Linked DNA regions of Drosophila melanogaster. The protein of the gene in region 1 interacts with the protein of each later gene in a pairwise test. Each region holds a gene or a part of one and is shown in the gene's direction. Other genes may lie near its edges.

The links.
Region 2: the proteins of Fhos (region 1) and fan interact in a two-hybrid assay, tested with the Drosophila melanogaster proteins (one large-scale study listed by BioGRID).
Region 3: the proteins of Fhos (region 1) and CG11905 interact in a two-hybrid assay, tested with the Drosophila melanogaster proteins (one large-scale study listed by BioGRID).

The regions. Positions count from the first base shown.
Region 1 is NT_037436.4:8,751,584-8,756,707, forward strand, and holds the start of Fhos (formin homology 2 domain containing), read left to right. Parts: upstream 1-2,035; 5' UTR 2,036-2,891; coding exon 2,892-2,912; intron 2,913-4,405; exon of another isoform or gene 4,406-4,599; coding exon of another isoform or gene 4,600-5,124. Other genes in the region: CG6576 (uncharacterized protein), read left to right, coding at 4,600-5,124.
Region 2 is NT_037436.4:8,107,089-8,110,560, forward strand, and holds fan (farinelli), read left to right. Parts: upstream 1-2,043; 5' UTR 2,044-2,189; coding exon 2,190-2,846; 3' UTR 2,847-2,955; downstream 2,956-3,472. Other genes in the region: Sarm (sterile alpha and armadillo motif), read left to right, coding at 1,551-1,635; Nulp1 (nuclear localized protein 1), read left to right, coding at 3,411-3,472.
Region 3 is NT_037436.4:16,930,640-16,937,408, reverse strand, and holds CG11905 (uncharacterized protein), read left to right. Parts: upstream 1-1,872; 5' UTR 1,873-1,921; exon of another isoform or gene 1,922-2,103; 5' UTR 2,104-2,200; coding exon 2,201-2,215; intron 2,216-4,048; coding exon 4,049-4,116; intron 4,117-4,397; coding exon 4,398-6,138; 3' UTR 6,139-6,237; downstream 6,238-6,769.

The DNA.
Region 1 (5,124 bases):
GGCATGGGCCAGCATGATTGACCGACTGCGTGGTGCACCTCGCCGTTGCTCCCGGGGATTGCCGGGTCTGACTTTTATGGCCGTCGGTGTATTTCTTTTTATTGCCTGCCCAAAATCCGTTTCTAGTTTTCCACCGCCACCATTCGTTCCTCTTGATTTGTTTGCATTCAGCTTTTCAGTTTTCGGTTTTCAGTTTTTAGCGTTTGCAGCGTTTTTTCTGGGTTGCGTTGGCGTCTCCGGCGGCAGCACGCACTGGGAAAATATTTGTGGAAAGCATGCGAAATGCACGCGCCTGTTGTGGATCTTTTATATTTTTTAATGCAGCGCTGAAAGCTATTTGTATCTGTCGGTCAGATTGGGTTAAGACTAAGACGCCGCCCCTGCGTGTCTTTCGTCAAAGTGTCGAGCCACTTTGCCAGGGGGCTAGCTATTAGCCCATTGATGCCGATGCCTTTGGCTTTGGCTTTTCCACTCCACGCCCTTTCTTCTCTATTAATTTAGAGCATCTTTGTCTGATTTATGGCGCAAGCATTCTATTTCACTCGCATGCTTTTTGGCATTTTGCGCATATTTAGTTTAAATGTCTTAAGTAAAACCGAAACGAATGCCAGTTTTATTTCGTATTTAGACGTCATCTTTTTAGCCGCACGTTTCCGGTGACTGCCGGCAACAGCAGTGGCAACTGCAAAAGTGGCACAAAGATTTTTATTTTTAAAACCAGAACAAATATGCGATATGTGTCGTTGTCTTCTGCATGATATCTGTGATAGTTTCCCCGGCCATTCTTTGATACACAAATTAACCGAATAATGAATGCACGGAGCAGAGGGTAAGTAAATAAGTAAGGGTGTTTCATGATTTAAGAAAATACAGATATAAACGAATCTTATTTGGTGGGAGAAATTAAAAGGCTCCATTGCAAAAGATCTTAAATAAAACTCATAGGAAAGTTCATTTCTTAAGTTGAGAGTAATTTTTCATTCGCGTTTTTCATTCTAAAGATAATAATCCAAGGGAATTATTCTTCAGGTTGTAGACCCTCGGGATCTTTGGCCTGCCTTTCGCTGTCTTTCATTCATGAGAACATGACAGACCACATCTGTATCTGTAGGTGACAATTATTGTTTGCATCATACATACTTTTTGTGTCACTTGCTGGATACCCCATGCTCCCCGCCCTCGATTAGTATCCCACTCATCGATTAGTCAGCGATGCCAAAAATAATTAAATAAAATTATTCGACTTATAATAGACCGAAATAGCTACGACGGAATGAAGCAGCCTAAATAGATGTCGAATATTTTAGAGTTGCATTTTGTTAGCATTACAAGAATTTTTACGCATTTCCTTACATTGCGATAATTGAAATCGAGAAGCTGGCACATATAGCCGGTTGGCCGATTTATGTCAGATATATATGGGGACCAGATACACACGGGAATAAGAAACGATGAATCAATGAAGACACGAAGCCTTAAATGCTCTTTGTTATGACTATGGTTTTCTTTGTGGCCAAAAGTTGCACAATGTATTTCGAACTCTTGTAAAACTTAATTTCAAATGCTCTAAGTAGTTAATTTTAGAAATACATATTATTTCGTTAATTTACTTTTAGTTCTATTGTAATAATTAGGTTGTTTTGTTATATTTTATATTTTACTTGTCCGTTTAGCACGACCCAGAAAAATGCTTGTCCGTTCAAGAGAGAATCGGAATGAATTGTCCGTACAAAGGATCTGTCGAAATCCTTAAAGTTATGCTGGAACTAATAATGATACCCTCATTCAGGGTATGTTTAAAACATTTATTTGTTTCTCGATTGCAATTTACGAATGCGATCGCCGACTGAGGAGAGCCGGCAGAATCTCCGAGAGCTTCATCTCCGATCGAATCTCTCGCTTGCCGAAAATACACGCATACTCAAAGCGAGAGCGCCGGAGATTTTCCTCCACTCAGCTTTTCACGCAATTCGGTGCGAGGGAAAATCTCGGCACAAAAATATTTTCACTGCGGCCAGACAGTTTTCCTTTGACAACGCGCCGAGTCGCACATGATTTTCCTCTCGGCCGGATTCGCTGTGGTCCAACAAAAAGAACCGAGAACTAAAAACAAAAATCGCGACACAATCTTTCAGCGAGTGTGTGAATGTTGCTAAATTTATAAATAACAGCTTAAGTTGTGCTGCTCCCAAAGTAAATTGAAATAAAAGCAAAAGTGATACGCGTCCGTCGTCGTGAAACGGAAAACGCAGGCGATGGAAAATGGGAAAATAGGAAAAAATAAGAAAAATAAGAAAAATATCAACGCATAAATAAAGCGCGAGCCTCGCGTCCGATTCTGTCGCATTCGCCGGCTGCATTCCCAAATAGATCGGGGCGCTATAGTCTATATCTGCTCGTATGCCCTATAGGCATCGACAGTATATATCCCAAACCTGCCCGGTGCGTGCCGGTGGATTATGTAAAGTGACACACGGCCGATCCCGATACCGATCTCGGAGTATCGCCCAGCGCAAATAAAAGCAAAGGAAATAATAGTTTACTTAGCAGAAAAGAAATAAATACAATAAAATAAAATTGAATAAAATAGGGGAATGCAGAGAGAGTGTCGTAGAAATTTGTCGCACGCGCGCGATTTCAGTAAGTGCATCTAATTTATTTTGCATCTATTGCAATTGAGAGTCGGCATCCGGCAGATACGTTTTCGTAATTGTCGTCAGCGGTTCGAGTTCCTCCGTTTCGATCTCGCGCGAGTGTTTGCCAGATTGGATTACCAAACCCAGGCCATACCAAAATAAATTATACACCAATTTTGAAAGGGCGATAAACATACATTGTGACCGAATTTTGATCCGATCTGCGATCGAGGATCGCTTGCCAAGAGCAACGTAATGTCGTCCTACCGCAGTTATGTAAGTACTAGTTAATGCAGCGCCAACTATCCGTATCTGTATCTGCATAATACCTACTCGTACTATATAGTGTGTATCTCGATCTTTGTATCTTCGCTCTGTGCCTTTTTGCAATTCTTCGCATCCACGGATTTTGTTTATTTCTAATTTGTTGCCTTACCCCACACACAAGAGTATTTCGCAGATACATACGTATACGTTTTATATGGCAGATAAAATGTATCTGAATGTTCGCTCTCGATGTGGTGTGGGCTCCAGATCCATTGATAAACAATTTAGATACAAATTTGCTCATTGTCTGGTTTTTTGGTTGGGATTTGTGTCTAGTTGATTGTTCTAATTTCCTATCCACACAAATAGCACAAATTATGGCCGAGGTGTGGCTACTGAATGAACGAATTGTTGTGTTTGAATAGCAAACCAATGCATGAATAAATGGCTTTTACTTTGGCAAAGCAGGTTAAGTTCCGAATTTTAAACCTATTTAACTTGATTTATGTTAGTATTTGCGTATATGCACAGTTGTCAAAGGAATTAATTTTGAGTTATTTGACATACTTTATGGCAGATTCATTATTGATACTGACCAATGACTGACAGTTCCCAAGTAAACATTTTGTGTTATTTATTGAACTTATCATCATATTTATTTATATTATTAACCCGTTCGACATCATGTGATACTTGTGAACTTTTATATAAAAAGTGCATTATTTCTATATCTATCCTATAATATAAATACACTTAATTTCGGTTGTCATTCCCAAACTTCCAAATCGCTTTCTACTAATCCCCTTTATGTTCAACTCATTATATCCTTTTGTTCCCAGGCATCCAGTTTATGACTTTAGCCTGACTTTTGACTCATTGAGCATAAATCAATTAAATATTTTTCGGGTCTTAGAATCTAATAAACTGATCAATTTATGGGCGGCAAACAACAAGTTTCCACCCCATCCCACGCACATCTACCACTTCATCTTCTCCCGAGTCATTTCTCCAATTATATATAGAATGTTTCTAAAAATGTTGGGAGTAAAGCAAAATGATTTCTGTTTCGTTCACGTTGACGCAGTCTCTTTTTTCCTCATTGGAGTTGGTACTTTGTGTAGGATTTTTATGGCCAGAAGGAAGTTGTAAATATTTATGACAAGCATAAAGTTGAAAGTTCTCCGGTGAGAGCACGCACCACCTAATTAATTAACAAAGTGTGAATACTCATGCAATTTGTTTGTGAGGGGAGAAAGTAGGGGAACGGTAATGGAGAAACAATAAAGTTGCAAATATAACTAAAGCTTTTAACTTCATATTCAAAAAAAATAAGTATATATTATCATATAACTAAATTTATATTCATAATGTATTAGCGAAAGCGGTAATGATTAAACATTGTTTCGATTATTGATTTCATTAGAAATATCTCTACTCGTCACACACAATGCGATCACAATCAGTTTTCATTTGAATTATTCATCAAAACAGATCAAAATTTGTTGTAGTGTAGCACAAAGGAAGGCGGTGATAGGCGCTTCTCAAATAGGCTTCGAGATAAGGATTTATGAATCAAGCTATCTGAGTCCGAGATTATCCACGCACACTCACCCGTCCACCCAACTGCCACCCAAGCCCCCCACAACACTCGAACACAGACACAAGTCAAGGACATTTTTTGATAAAAAGATAAAAAATGACACGGCGTCGACGTCCACGATGTAAGGTGAATCCCTCGATAGCGCTGAGAAAGAAGAAACAGGAGACTGCACCCAGTGCAGAAAAGGTAGAGCCACAACGTCCACCGCCCTTGCCGGATCCGCCCAGCGAAGAGCCACCGGAAGTCGTCAGCACTTCGAGCGTAGAATCTGAAATCGAATCGGATTACAAACTCTTCCCGGAACTCTACGATCGCCAGCCGTCGATGCCCACGTTTGCTGATCTTTTTGGTCAGCCCTCTTATGAATCAGTGTTGCAGGAGCCCGAGGTGGCATCTACCTCCTCCTCAACGAACACAAATGCCGCGGGAATACGTAGTACAGACGATGGGAAATTCACTAATATTCCGGCCACGATGCTGTCAGATCAATTTGGGATCATTGGGCTGCTGGCCGCCATGAGGACTACGCAAACGGATCCGGGCGCCACGCAGCTGGTCTTTGGTGAGGATCTAACCACCTACGGACTAGATTTGGCTGCCCAGGGAGACATTTATGTGCAT
Region 2 (3,472 bases), 640 kb from region 1:
TAAATTTAACTGGTAACGCTTCGGATAAAAGATTTCAGATGTTACTTCGAAAGAAATCAGATTGTGAAAAGGTGCTTCTAGTTACTCGCCAATCGCCCACTAAGTGCCTGTTAACCCGTTTCTCGCCACTCGCTGCATTTGTGCCATCTAAAAAGAATCTCATCCAATCACGCATTCATCCACCCCCTGGGGACCCTTACAACCTTTCTACCTCCACTCGCTGACTCTACTTCTCTTTCTCTGGTGTTGGTACTCGTTCGCTATTTTTACTCGCCACTCGTTGACTCGTTTCGCTAAGCATCCACTAAAACTCGCCTGCGTTGCCCAAAAAATATATACGAACGCCCCTCCCCCGCCAATTTCTATATCTTCAAACTCTATTTGCCTTGTGATTAGTTGTTGATTTTGATAATTATTTTTTTATTGAAAAATAAGTAAGCGAATTTAAATTGCGAAAACTAATTTATGAAAAGAAAAATACAATTAACGACTGCATAAATACGAAACCTAATTTATAGAACACAAAACAGAAACCATCTAATTCTAAACACTACAAGAAACAAAAATATATTGGAGAGCGAAAACACTCTATATTTAAAATGCTATTTATAAATAATATGTTTAAAAATTTGTACATTTTTCGCGAATGCAACATGTTCTTGTAACCGTCCGCAAAACGTAAACTAAAAATTGCAAAATTTAAAATTAACCCGTGTGGCTTAAAACGAAAATATTTACATAAGTGATATTTAAACTACGTATAATCGAAATTTACTTAATGCAAAATTTTTACAACAAAACATGCTGTACAAACCTAATTTTTAGCGCAGGAGTTTTTAAGGCATATTTTTATTGATTTTTGCAATATATATTTAATATTTAAATAGTGCCTAAAGTTAAATACGAAAGCCGAAAAAATCGAAATACATACAAAAAAAAAAGGAAATAAAATGTGACTTAATTCAAACTAAATGTGTATTATTGGCCCTATTTAGCCCTGTTCCCCTGCTTAATCAGTCCATACTATATCATCAATCGCATGTACCGATATTATACGTTTTGTTCAATGTTTGTATTGCGTTCTGCATTTGAATTTGTGTTTGTGCCTTTAATGGAATTCGAAATGTTTTATTTGTATATATCTTATCACTTTTATTTCTTCCCTCTTTCTTTCTCTATATCCGGACTTTTTTGTAGACCATAAAAGCGAAATTGGCTACCGCAATCCGTTGTAACTGTTGTTATCGTTGTGCCTGTTGTACTGCCCCCGCCCACAAAAGCACCCACCCACCAAATCGAATCGATTTCGATTTCGAAAAACCCATCATCGCACACCGTGAGATTAATACGATGCCTACACTCAGCATCCGCCGTCTCGACAACCAACATTCATTGTTATTTATTACCAAGCAAGCAACAAAAAAAAGAAAGAAAGCAATCAAAGCAAATAGCGATACCAATAAACGTGTATATAATTGCATAAATCGAAAGAGTCCTGTCAAACATTTTTTAATTTGTATCTTACCCATACCTCCTCCCACTCGAAACAGCAACGAAATGGAGGACGAGGAACTTTCGGGCATCATTCTGTCCAAGGCCACCTCCCCCAATGCCGGGCGCATGATATTTTGGTAAATGATGGACCATCCCCCACCTGACACACATTCAGTCACACAAACGTATCGAATTTTTGTAAATATTTAATAAAACAAAAAACAAATAAAACGAACGATCTGAAACTCGAAATCATGTTGTTATCTAAACATCTTGAACTTACAAATACAAAAAACTACAATTTGCAAAAGTTCTAAAAAGTTTTTGAACATTATTTAAAGACAGGTTTGTATATAATTTATGAAATTAGCCTAAAATATAGCTTTTAAGACATTCCTTTAAGCAACATAAGCTAATAGCTGCAATCTATAATAGTGATGCTGCGCATATGACTTTCAAAACCGACCAGTGTGTCCACACCAGAAAAGTTGAATTCATACGAAATCAAGCAATATGTGAACTCAATTCAGCCCTGAAATGGAAAGTTTCACATTCCTTTTTCTGTCATTTGCACTACGGCATTGTCAGGGAACGTGTTCATTTGGTACCACATTTTTTCATATATTGGTCATAATCGGTTCCAGTTCATATCGCTTCCGATTTTTTGAAAAATAAAAAGGTACAAATATTCCAATATGTCCGACAATACCGAGAGCAAACTTGCGCTAGACCCGTGCGATGTGATCGTCTTTGAGGGACCATTCAACCGCTCGGTGAGCAGGAAGCTAGTCATCAAGAACACCAGTAAGACCCAGCGAATGGCCTTCAAGATGAAGACCACCACTCCAAAACTTTTTTATGTACGCCCCAACATCGGTGTCTTGGGGCCCGAGCAGAAGGTCAGCGTTGACATATTCATGCAGCCAATTCTGCAGGAGCAGATAAAGAAGCGTCATAAGTTCCTTCTCCTGGCCGCCGAGGTGACTGGTGACATAAGCGATGTGCAGGAGTTTTGGAAGATGCAGAACCCGAATGAAACTCGGGAAACCAAGATCAAATGTGAGCTAGTCCCTTCGAAGGAGGACGATTTCCGTCAGGCGGGAGGTTCAGCTGTAATATCCACGGACAACAAGGACGGAGAGGTCCATTTTGATGCCCAGGAAGTCAGTGAGCCAATGGCCAAGTTGCTCAAGCAAGTCAGCATGCTGGAGGACGAGCATATGGCCCTCACAGACCAGATCGACGGCTTGCGTGACCAGGCGATTGGGCGCACTTTCTTCTACATGGCCGCCATAGTAATCATTATACTGTCCGCTGTCGCAGGCGCCTATTATGGCAAGACTCGTTTGTAAATTCCTTATCATGGCAGTTTTTAGAACATAAGGCAGTAAATTGCACCGAAATTGTACGAAAATTATTTGTCAATAAAGGACATTTTGGTTGCATATTCTATTTTGAGATAGATAATTAGTTTATGCTTGTATACCAATAAATGCGTAAGATGTTATATTCTCACTTTACTAGAAGTAAATAAGTTTAAAATAGGAAATGTCGAATAAAAATAAATTTTTTCAAAACAATTTAAAATGCTTTTTCCTATTTCACTTTATGAAGAGACAAAAAGTAAACTTATTAAAATTTCTGTGAATAACACGTCAAGTTTGATCCAACTTCTACAGGCAAGGCGTATAGGTGTATAGCACTTGCTAAAATTTAGAACTTCTTTTTCAATTCCCGCCAAGACGGGACCACCTGTCTAGGCCAGTGCTGTGAAGCGCGCGTGGCCACAGAGCTCGGCAACCCTGCAGCCGTGCGAAAGCGAATGTGGTGAAGAAAAAAAAAACAGCGAAATACACACGTATTTTGCGACGAAATTAAATAGAATTCCTGCTAAGGGGTATAAGGACACTTGAAGGATGTCTGCGCGAATGCTGAAGAAGCTGCAGGGCGACGCTGACAAGCTGGCGCCACCGCCCGA
Region 3 (6,769 bases), 8.2 Mb from region 1:
AGAAAAGCCCATAAGCAATAATAATATGCATATTTGCTAAAACAAAAAGTTATTACATGGGCCAGTTTTGACCGAAAGTTTCACTGCCACAATTAAGTTTTAATGTCAAGAGATCTAAGCGAGTGATTTCCCTGAAACAAGTTCCTACGCACTCGAAAACTTTCTTCGCCGAATGCACTAAAAGAACGTACAGAAGAGCACTAAAAAGCTTGCCATAGCTTGACATAGATTCTATTCGGCCGGGTCTAGGGTTTGTATGGCTGAAATGGCCACGTTCTCAGCGTAGAAATCAATGGCTCACCTGGGAAGTAGCCGAGGTGCATAATTGGGTTAGCGTAGCAGCAGAACGGCCTGCATTGAAACCACAAATTACTGGGGCTCCGGCTCTCCCAGGTGCCAGTTAGCTGTTTCTGTTTATTTTCCCCCTCATAAACAACGGTTTGGGCTGGGATTCTCCTCCTCGCCGAAGGTCAGACTTAATTGGCCCGGGCCTAGGCAACGACATCCCACTAGCAGTCCCGTTTCGCCTGCATTTATAAATAGGCCCCAAGGTCTCTGGGTCTTGGGTCTTCGGTCTTCGGTCTTCGGTCTTCAACTTCTCGACTCGCTCTTCGGCTGCTTGGATTTCAGTTGGGGTTCGATTTATCGCCTTTTGATTGCTGCATTCCAATTGTGGATCAAGTGGTGCGTGTGGCGCATTCGGGGCTTACAACGTGTTGCTGCTAATTTCGTATGCTCCCTTCGGCTCTGCGCACTCGAAACCATAAATCTTGTGGCAATTTTATTGATGCCTGCGTGTGCCACAAAGGTCGACCCCCCGTTCGATGCTGCTTAATCAAGGAATATGCATTATTTCACAGCGCAGTCAGTAGCTGGCTGCTCGGGGCATAAAAGCCAATAAAAGAATAAATTGCAGTTGTATCACAGCAAAGTTAATCACAAAATTAATGGTTCTGGGCTAATAAAGACTGGTCTGCAATGAAAACAAATGACTTAAGGCACGAACCTGAAATCAATTTCTCTGATTTCAGACATTTGTTATTCATGATTATCGATCAAAAACGGTCCGAAGCTAAGTCTTAATCCTGACATCTGTTGATACCCGAGAAGTGTGTGAAGTCTTCACGCCGAAGTGCTTGTCAAATCAAAAAAAAAAAAAAAGAACATGACTCTTGAGTCACTATGTGCGAAACTTTCTAACGAGTTCCAGGCAAACATTTTAATTGAATTGCCCGGCAACGAATCGATTCTTTCATCACGGTAAGTCTCTTACCATTTTGGCTTATGTCATGTTCTGGGCCCGTTCCGAGCTGATTACCTTTCCACTTCCCACACGCATTTCGCTTCTATTCTCGTGGCTCACTCCACTTGTAATGGCCAGTCACTTCGCTCCTGTCCAGTCACACTCAATCAAGCCAATAAACGGCCAATTAATCAAAGTCAGCGCTGTGATTCTGTGTTCTTGCTAGGTGCGAGTTTGCGAAACAGTAGACTGAAGAAGCGACTGTCAGCACATTTAATCAAATGCTTGAGAAATATCTGACAATATGTTAGGCAAACTATTTGCCTAACCCAAGGGATCGGGGAAGATTTCGATCTGCGAAATCCTAGAGTTGTAAGCCTGCATATCAATTGGTGTTGTGTACCCTGGAGCTGGTAACCAAATCCCACAGATCCACGCCCCCAGATAAAAGCCAGGCCAAGGCGCTCGACTACGTGCCCGAATCGCGGTCTTCTCTTCGACTCTCTCTTCTGCCCAAAACCCAGTTCTCTTACACCTGATCGGGCCCTGTTTTCTTGGCCATTTCTTTCGCTTCGTCGTTTGCATCGCTAATGGAAATGTTATAAACAGACGCGCTGGGCCCGGCCAGCACTCAGTTCATCTTCAGACGTCGCCTGGCTCGCTGGCTCTTGGTTCTTGGTAGGAGTTCCATTTCCAGACCCTATTTATTGTGCGTGACAAAAAAAAAGAAAGAAAAACAACGGAACCTGAAACAATCGTAAATTGAAAGCTCAGCAGGATTGGTTTTATAGTGCTTTTAGTGTGTGTGATTTTGCCGCGTGATAACCCAGAGTGCCACTCATTCCCGTTCTCGTTTGCAGTTCAAGGATATATTGTCAAGGCGAGGATTGGTCAACGCCACGAACACCAAGCATTTATTGAAAAATCTGAAACTATTCACCAGAACCTCGCGTTAAAATGCGCTTTCTTGTTGTAAGTCAAATCGCATAAAAAAGAAAATTAAATACCATGAATGACTTAACTTCACATTTTGGGAATACAAAACGAAACTAGTTTATACCTGACCGCAATTAATCATTTATTGCTCTGTGCTGCCGCTGAACTCATTAACTCGTCAACTGGCCCAAGTTCGTGCCTTAAGTCTTTTGTTTCTTTCACTTCTGAATCGACACTAACTTTCACTAAGCGACTTTTTTGATTCTTGGCTTGGTTCTTTCCTTTTTTTGATCGCCTTAATTAGCCTTAATTATGCTCTGTGCCATATGCAAATATTAATAAGAGTGCCTAAAATCTTTTTGGGGTTTATAATAATCACAAATCAATTTGGACGCAAAGAACTATATTGGGGAAACTTTTTTTTATATGAATGCAAAAGGTTAAGACTTCTTTGTGCCAGTTATTGTTCACTTAGTAAAGGTTTTTCAAAAGAGTTAATTCTTTCTGAAAAGTGAAACCCTTTTGTCCATTCCATTTGAACGTGACAATATTCTAGCCCCACCCCAATTTAAAAAGTGAGAATTAATCATTCATACCTAGGAAGTATTGTTCCTTGCATTATTCATATTCCCATTATGAAAAGCATGCCCTTAAAAGTCAAAACTCTACAGCGACTCCCATAAGCAACAATGCCATTCAATTATAACCACAACCAATACAACCACTTGGGTTGAAAAGCCCAAAAAATAATTATGACTCAAAGAACATAAAATTAATATGCCGCAAACGTATAAAAATCATGCGTGGGCTAACAAATGGTAATATAAGTCTTCTTTTCCCCCTCCCAACTATCAAACAATCGGTCACATTTGTGTGGGGTTCTTAACTATAAGTGCACTGGTTTGTTTTCGAGTTTGTGATCGTTTCGATAGTGGTTCATAAATTAATCAATTTATGAGTGTAGACAGTTAGCCACACGTCCCAAGTCCATCAATCCCTGCTCAATTAGCTGCATTGGAATGGCTCTGGAATATCATTTAAGACCAAAAGACACCTGATCGGATGTGAAGATCAGGAGACAGACTCATTTATAACTTGTTTGAGAACATAAAATGCTGCGCTTAAACTTTGCATTCGAGCCATTAACCCAGTTTATTTTTGGACAAGACACACCTGATATGGGGTCGAATCGGCATCGTTATGTGAGGGCAATATAATAAATAAGGCGAAATACACAAAAGAAAGCAGACAGAAATACATCTTACTGCTTGGGGATGCAAGAGTTCTTGCAAATCAATGGCAACCAGGTTCGACAGCCTCTGCGCCAGAATCTCTTCTCTCGAGTTACGTTTCGGCACCGAAATCGTAACAGCCGCCTAGAGGTTCAGGTCAATGACACAACACGAGCCTCGACTTCGAATCCAGCTTTGGTTTTGGCTTTTGGTCTCAGTTCCTCTCGGCTTTGTGACATTTCGGCGCTGATAGATAGGCGTGCGGGCTGGTCGTTTCCACCGGCTAACGGTTGCGTCAATATTGACTTTGCCAAAGATGTGGAGAGCCGGCGAGAGTGAGTCAAATATTTGCCGATCGTGAGGTTCTTGACAATCGTATTCGAGGGAAAATCCGTCAAGTACATAAGCCGTTCCTTGCCACCTGGCTCTCACTTTTCGGCGTAGCTTTCAGCAGCGAAAGAAATTATGCAAATGTGCTGGAGGAGCAGGGAGAGAGAGACTTTCGCGACTTTCGGGACTTGACCGCATTCCACACGTGTGAATTTTGTATCCATTACGACATCAGAATACAGACACCCTATCTAACCGGCATAAATCATAGATCTCATTCATCTATTGTCACACATTTGTCTTTCAGCTCTCAACACTGCTTCTGGCCTCTTTGGCACTTGGCCAGGCTCAACAGCACGGTGGACTGGCCGTCGAGTAAGTAGACTAGTAGCTAGTTACCCAGCCCTAAGACCCCAAATAACCATGAAATGCCTTGCCTGCCAAATGTGACTGTGTCAACGCTAATGCTCATTCCAAGTAGAAGTTGATGCGCTTGCCTAGAACTATGTGACTAAACCGAAAAAAGCCCAGACTTGTGACTAACCCTCAAAACTCATTTCCCTCCACCCAACAACACATTACCCTGCATTAGCAACTAGAAGCTAACTCCACCAACAGATAGAGACCACCAAACAAACCCCACCTTTCGTTTGCAGAATTCAGAAGCAGCGGCTGGTCAAATTTCCCGAGGACTTTGAGCCCAATGCGGCCACTCCGTCCTCGGAAAAGGCGGACGAGGCCAAGCGCATCCTCGAGCAGATAGCCAAGGTTAACGAGGCCTTTGGCTACGTGAAGAAGCAGCCGGAGCAGCCCAAGCTGCCACCGATCCTTGATTCCAGTCAATACCTGTTCCCCAAGCCCGCCCATCAGCCATTTCACGCCCATCAGCACCACTTCTCGGGAAGTAATGGTCAGACCTTGTTAGAACCCTCAATTAGGGCGGTGAAACTCACAAGAAATGTGGCGGGCAGTTACAATGTGCCTCCCAGGTTGCGCCAGGCAATTGAGAGCACCTCCAAGGAGGAGAAGAAAGCGCAACTCTACTTCCGACCCAAACAGGTGGAGGTACCGAAGCCGAGTTCCGAACAAGAAGCACAGCAGCTGCCCGCCCACTTTGTGGTGCCCGTGCACCTGTACAAACTCAATAAGGAGGAGTATCTCAAGGAGCACGCCTCGCAGGAATACAAGATAAAGGGATACAAAATCATTGGCGATGTGGACAGCTTCTATGGCAAGGCGAAGGCTGGAAGAAAACAGGGCAAGACGACGCCCAAGTATCACCTGTTCTTCCTGCCCCGAGAACTGGCTCTCAATGAAGATGGCACCCCAAAAAGGGGTAATTCCACCACCATTGGTACGACCACCACAAAGGCTCCAGTGCCTGTGAACTTCAAGGAATATCGTTTGGACTCCCGCGAGAAGCCCGTGCATAAGCCACAGAAGATTCAGCCCACTTCGTCACCGGAATTAAATTCTTTGAACAGAAAGAAGGTTGGTTCCACAGCGAAACCCGTTCGCTTGAGTGGAAAGGATGCTGAACAGCAAATCTACCAGGGATCCACATCCCTTAATATCAAGGCTACATCTGCGCCTGTCCTGTTGAGTTCTACTTTACCACCATCTGGTGGCTTGCTGCCCAATCGGAATCGCTTAAGTCCATTCCGCATGCCCGGAATGAATATAGCTGAGATGCAGAATCAGACCTCGACTGCCATCAAGAATGCCTTTCAAAACATTTTCAAGCTCCCCTTCCGACCTCCAATGGCGGCCACAGCTGGAGAAGGTCCTGTGGTTGTTGGCAATGTTCCTGTGAAGAATCACTCAATCGATTCGATGGATTATAAATGGGAGGATGAAAACGAGGGCGCCGGCGATGGGATGGCCGATGATGTGGATACCATTGAGAACACAGCCGCGGAACTGGACAACAGTGCCTCCTCAGAGAAGCACTTGTTTGCTCACAAGGGCCATCACCTGATGCACACTGTGAGCCAGGTGGCCACCGCTCAGGAAAGCACCCAAAAGCAGGCATTGCGCGAAGGAGGAATCATCATTCAGCGGCTAAAGGTTCGCAGGGGCGGCATCGCTATCGCAGGACCCGGGGGCGTGGCCACGGCGGGCAGCGGAGGAACGGCGATTGTTGGTCCCGGTGGCTATGCTCTCACCCATCCACGGAGTCTCACCATCGCCGGTCCCGGGGCCAAGGTGATCTCCATACCGGCAGATGTGGACCTTAAAGATGCCCTGGCACGCACCGATCTGGAGACGAGAAGTTTTCCGCGAGAGGGAAAGATAGTGGCTACAGGACCAACGGTCTACTATGCTCCACCCACGGGCACAACAACCATGGAGGCGGATCAGGGGGCGGGGCTGGAGACGGGCCAGTTCGAGTCCTAATCCAGTTCGAGGCTTAAACCTAATAGCTATTATTTAGCACATTTAGTTAGGATCCATAGTTGGTATTGTCTAGTGTTCTAATAAATATTTGTATTTCGTAATTGTTTGGGCTTTTGCTTTCATCTTGTACATAGTAGTTTTAGATATCACACTTATTCCGCATGATATTAACCCGACACAGTTTAACCCCTCGAATTATTGCTGTAAATAATATACGACTAACCGGCGGTTCTCTTCACCATTTTCCTCTATCCCACTCTTCCTAAACCAAAAACTATCCTAACTCAAGTGCCTACTGGCGCACAACCAATATCGAGGCCTGGCCACCAGGAGCACCCGTCGCAGAGAAGTCCGGAAAACTCATTGCAGGATCTGCTCCGGCCCAGGACCTCACGCCCTATGGAGCCTATCAACCCGTGCTGTTCAGTGCCCCATACTACGCCGCCTACAATCTGCCCCTGGCCTATGTGGTGCAACCCACCATCGCCAGTGCCGATCAAGCCACCATAGCCAGTGCAACAACCACAACGACCACTACCACAACTGGCCGACCCGAAAGCTTAGCTGATGACAGCTCCAGCGAGTTGGAGAAACCAGAAAAGCTACAGGCTCTGCCTGCAGTGAAGACCCG